Kluyveromyces lactis: one gene and its partner. The protein of the gene in region 1 binds, or shares a complex with, the protein of each later gene. Links are inferred from orthologs where the notes say so. Each region holds a gene or a part of one and is shown on either strand. Other genes may lie near its edges.

Region 1 (3,063 bases):
AAGATTACAATCGATTGAGCAGTTCGTTTAGAGTTTTGAGCTGGCAATTCCTGACTTGGCATTGTCCTGTGGGCTCTATTCATGGTAGCGTCGTTCAGTTGATCAAATATGGATGAAGAGAAGAGATTACGATCCCAGTTACGCGGGAAGCTGTGGTTCTATGTGGAATCGATTATCAAAAGAGAACTACCAGAAGATGTAAAATACAATTCAAAATATGTCAACACTCTTACTGAACTGGTTTACCAGCAGATATGTGAGGTTGGTGGTGATTTGGAAGCTTTTGCCCAACATGCTAACAGAAATGTTGTTACGTCTGAAGATATGTTACTACGAACAAGGAAGAACAAGGATCTACAAGATTTTTTGAAACTACGACTAATGGAACTACGAGATGCTAACGTAGGACGACAGAGTAAAAGGTGAAAGGAGCTTGTTAAATTATGTAAAATTGCTATATATGTACAGGACTTGTGAAACAAGCATGTGTTTTTTTTAATGGAAAGGTCAGAGACTAATATCAGATCAACGCTTAACCCAGGTAGGCATCTTTCTTGCCTTTCTCTTACCAGGCTTCTTTCTTTCGACGTGTCTGTAATCTCTTGTCAAGACACCGGATCTATGCAATCTAGTTTTCAATAGTGGGTTGAAAGCAACCAATGCCTTACCGATTGCATGCATCAAGGCATCGGCTTGCCCCGTAATACCACCTCCGGAAACCATTGCAAAGACGTTATATTTGCCAACACTGTCAATGGCTTTTAATGGATACATTACGGATTCTCTGTCCTTCATTTTAACGAAGTAATCGTTTAATTGACGGTCGTTAACTAAGATCTTACCTTCACCACGAACCACATATACCTTGGCAGTAGAGGTCTTTCTTCTTCCGATGGCCAAACTTCTACCAAACTCGTCTAATTGCTTCAAAGTATCTCTTTGAGGTTGCAACTTCGTCTTCTTATGGTATTTCGCTAAAGTGTTCGAAATCTCATCGGTAACCAACTGTGGATCAATAGAATTCAAACGGTTCAACATGAACAAAAGCTGCTTATACTGGGTAGATTTCAAACGGGACCCACCACCTATTAGAGCGTACTCTTGCAAACTCAACCAGGAAGGCCTTTCTTCCACTTGGACGGTAGGATATTTGATATATTTCCTCAACAACGCTTCTAAGTTATCGATATGAGCTTCGTGATGTGGGTTGGCGGAGTAAAAAGTAGACAACTTAGGCACAATTCTAGTCCCTGTGTAACCATATTCTGCACCAGCACGGGCGCCATCATTGTACTGCCTTGAACCAGAACCGGTCCTCTCAGACCCCGAGCTGTTAAACAATGGCCTGGCATAAGAGAATAGTCTTTTCTGTACCGTAAGACCCTGTCTCAAAGAGACACCAGTTAAACGTGAGAACATTTTTCTGATCTTTGGTTTTAGTCTCCCCTTCTATCCCTGTGGAAACTGCTCACGAAAGACCTCAGGCGACTAAGATAAAGACTGCTCAGCTTAATTTATGTCTGTCTCTATCTCTATCTCTACCTCTGGTTGAGCTTTCCAAATTTTTCACTTTCTCAGTTTTTCAATCTAGAAATGCAGATCCGTGTCTGGCTCGCTCCCAGTGACAATGTATACAGAGTTAGACATGGAACTTCAACTCGTACAGTGTGATGGTCGAAGCGAACATTGTCGATGTACTTAAGAGGTCAGCTAGTTGGAACGTACCAGTTGTTTTAGGGGTCAGATGTATTCACCTTAAGGGTGATGGTCGCAATGTGTACTGTAATGGTATAATGGTGTTATTAGTTCCCTTTTTTTTGGGTGGTAAGAATTATTATAAAAGAGCTAAAGAATTAAAGTATTATATCGTGTCTCATTTTGAAGGTCTATAAAATGATTTATTATAAAGTTGGATTGATCTAGTAGCACTACACCAGGCGGAATAAGTGGGAAGTAATGATCAGATATGTTTTATATAAACGGAGAGAGGAGGGAAACATATAAAAGGTGAAAAAAGTCATGACTTGAATGCGGAAGAGATTTCATTATTTTGAAGTGTCGACGACGTATCTACCGACGATAGCACCCTTTTCCATCTTTTCGTAGATGGATGGTAGTTCGGACAAACCAACGACGTGGATTGGAGCCTTGACTAGACCTCTGGAGAAGAAGTCAATGGCTTCTCTGGTGTCAGCTCTGTTACCGACGTAAGAACCGACAATGGAGATGGACTTCACAACTTGGTTAAAGACATCGGACTTACACTTGGCGTCTCTTGGTAGACCGACCAATACGACGGTACCGTTAGATCTGACGTAGTTGGTAGATTGTTCGATAGCGAATTCGGAGACAGAGACGTTGATGACACCGTGAGCACCACCCTTGGTAGCTTCGATGACTTCTTCTGGGATGTTCTTGGACTTGGTGAAATCAATGAAGTATTCACCACCCAAGTCCTTGAACAACTTAGCCTTTTCTTCACCAGCATCGATACCCAACACTCTGTAACCCATGGCCTTGGCGTATTGGACAGCTAGAGAACCTAGACCACCAGCAGCACCAGAGATGGCGACCCAGTCACCGGCCTTCAAGTTGGCGGATTTTAGGGCCTTGTAAACGGTGACACCAGCACATAGCACTGGAGCAACTTCAGCCAAGTCAGTACCGACTGGGATCTTGGCAGCTTGAACGGCATCAGCAGTAGCGTATTGTTGGAAAGAACCGTCGTGAGTGTAACCGGACAAGTCAGCTTCTGGACAGTTGGATTCGTTGGACAATTCACAGTATTCACAGGACATACAAGAACCGTTCAACCATTTGATACCAGCGAAGTCACCAATCTTCCAGCCCTTGACGTTTTCACCCATAGCAACAACGACACCAGCACCTTCGTGACCACCAACTAATGGCAATTTGGTTGGCAAAGGCCAGTCACCCTTCCATGCGTGCAAATCGGTGTGACAGACACCGGAGTACTTGACGTTGATCAAAAGTTCGTTAGCCTTTGGCTTTGGAACTGGGATGTCCTTGTATTGCAATTCACCACCGTTTTCGTAGAAGATA
Region 2 (2,240 bases), on another chromosome or scaffold:
GTTACATCAAGTTAATCTCACAAACCTACGATTTGTGTGAACAATTGGAGGAGAACGACATCGACGGATTGAAATGTCCAATCGAGGAAGGTGTCTACGAGTTGAACAAGATCGTGGAGATCCCTAGCGAGGTGCCACCTGGCAAATACTCTGTCATTGCTAGAGCTTACAACGTCGACGATGAACAGATCACGTGCCTAACTGGTGAAGTAATCTTCCCAGCGTACTAGACACACCTGTCACAAAGGCTACCTGTCTCTCACTGACCTTACCCAGTGTGAGCCAAGTATAAGGTCTCCTCCTATAGCGACGTTGCAAAGCTGTGGAGTTCTAGGTCCATGTACACGTGACCGAACCGATTACGGCACCTTTTTACCCGTCTTGCTATATATAATATTAATTGAATCACAATTTGAATTGGTTGATCTCTCTCCTCCGTTACCCCAGGTTAGGAAGAGGTCCTAATTTGTATTACATATATCTAGTATACCCTCCTCTATACTATCCCTACCTGTCCAGTCAACAAACGACCACTGTCATCTAATAATGCTAAGAACTGTCTTCAACAAACCATCAGTGTTGAAATCTGGAGTTAACTCGATTACAAAGCAATGCCGTTCTCTTCACGCAAATGCTTACTTGTTGAACAAGGGCAACAGCAACGGTGCTGAGGGCCAAGATGACGATGTCACGGTGAGAATCAGAATCCCACCTATCAAGAGAACCGGCGAGTCTCTAGACAAGAAGCGTGCTAGATTAATTTATCAGTCCAGAAAGAGAGGTATTCTGGAAACAGACTTACTTTTGTCACGTTTTGCTGCTAAGTATTTAAAGGAAATGACCCCAGAACAACTAGAAGAGTACGACCAGTTGTTGAACGAACTAGATTGGGATATCTACTACTGGGCCACAGAAAACTATTCCATTACACCTCTTCCTGACAGATGGAAGAACTCCAATATTCTAAAACAATTGCAAGAGTTCAGTAAGAACAAGGATCGTGAAATCCTAAGCATGCCTGATCTTTCCAAATACTGAACATCAGCGGTATACGTACTTGCCAATTAAGCAACAGTATAGTCTATAGCTCTTATTTTATACCCATATGCTCTCTCTCCCTCTGTCGCGGCAGCTCATCATTTCCAGGGCAGGCCCAAGTGAAAAATTTAACCCGTACACCGCATACTTAGATCCAACATTGGCGAAAGTCTCAAAAATTTTGTTAAGATCATAAAGAATGATATCGTTTATATGATGGAAAATATCATAAATGTAGTCGCGTAGTCCGTTCTAGAGGTCTTGTAAGGTCGTGTTGCGAAGGGTACGTCCAAGATATCAAGTGTTCATATATTAAAGCATGTCCAGTAAGACTCCTCTTTATAAATTACCACCTCTTCCCAGACTTAAGGTGAAAAAGCCAATTATTCAACAAGAGGCTAACAGATGCTTGGTATTGATGTCCAATCTATTACAATGCTGGTCTTCTAACGGACACATGTACGGTGCATGTGAGACATTGGCCCAAGATTTGAAGGCATGTACCGCGGAAAATGCCTTAGGTAAGAACCAAAAAGTCCAGAAGAGTAATATCAACTATCATGCTGCTAGATTGTACGATAGAGTTGGTGGAAAATCTCATGATTAGAAAGAAGCAGACAGACTTTCTCCCCCTTCGTTATCACTTGTACATAATACCATTTTCTAATATTACATATATCATCTAAAATCAAGGAATTCACGATTTATTAAATATGATAGAGATTTTTGTAGCTATTTGTGAGTGGATTCATCTCAAACTTTTCTGGCGAGTCTGCCAGCTCTTTCCCACTCGTCTTTCGTTAGATACCATCCCGGATGGAACTCAGATGAATCATGCTGTTTGATGGTATTAAGGTCATTCTCGTTAATTTCGTTACAATGCATGTTAGAATCTCCTCTGTAATTGTTTTCAATTTCCCATTGGAAATCGCTATGTTCAGTCTCGGCCTTTGTCATGGAGCCTATAGGTTCTGGTATCCGTAGGTATGGATTTCTCAATGTGTTGTTTACACTGCCCAATGAAGTGAATCCCATCTCATATAATCCGCATACTTCTTCTCCCGAATACAATAGGAAACTCCATATCTGTGAGAGATTCCAATGTAGCAACGGTTGCAACCTGTAGAACTGGGGCCAACTGGGGTCCGTCTTTTGAATTGGTTGCAACGTCTCCCCAAATGGATCTGTGTGTCTAATGCCGA

Evidence for each region. Proteins that work in one complex are often made in the same cells at the same time.
Region 2: MRPS9 (region 1) and MRP10 share a complex: the UniProt entries of both Saccharomyces cerevisiae proteins name them as parts of the mitochondrial small ribosomal subunit. The link is inferred for Kluyveromyces lactis from reciprocal best matches to the Saccharomyces cerevisiae genes MRPS9 and MRP10.

What each region holds. Positions count from the first base shown.
Region 1 is NC_006042.1:1,962,986-1,966,048, reverse strand, and holds MRPS9 (mitochondrial 37S ribosomal protein uS9m), read right to left. Parts: upstream 1,420-3,063; coding exon 526-1,419; downstream 1-525. Other genes in the region: MHF1 (Mhf1p), read left to right, coding at 109-426; KLLA0_F21010g (zinc-dependent alcohol dehydrogenase), read right to left, coding at 2,046-3,063. UniProt on the Saccharomyces cerevisiae protein: Component of the mitochondrial ribosome (mitoribosome), a dedicated translation machinery responsible for the synthesis of mitochondrial genome-encoded proteins, including at least some of the essential transmembrane subunits of the mitochondrial respiratory chain.
Region 2 is NC_006041.1:1,178,093-1,180,332, forward strand, and holds MRP10 (mitochondrial 37S ribosomal protein mS37), read left to right. Parts: upstream 1-1,357; coding exon 1,358-1,645; downstream 1,646-2,240. Other genes in the region: NPC2 (sterol transporter), read left to right, coding at 1-230; succinate dehydrogenase assembly factor SDH5, read left to right, coding at 547-1,038; FAD1 (FMN adenylyltransferase), read right to left, coding at 1,792-2,240. UniProt on the Saccharomyces cerevisiae protein: Component of the mitochondrial ribosome (mitoribosome), a dedicated translation machinery responsible for the synthesis of mitochondrial genome-encoded proteins, including at least some of the essential transmembrane subunits of the mitochondrial respiratory chain.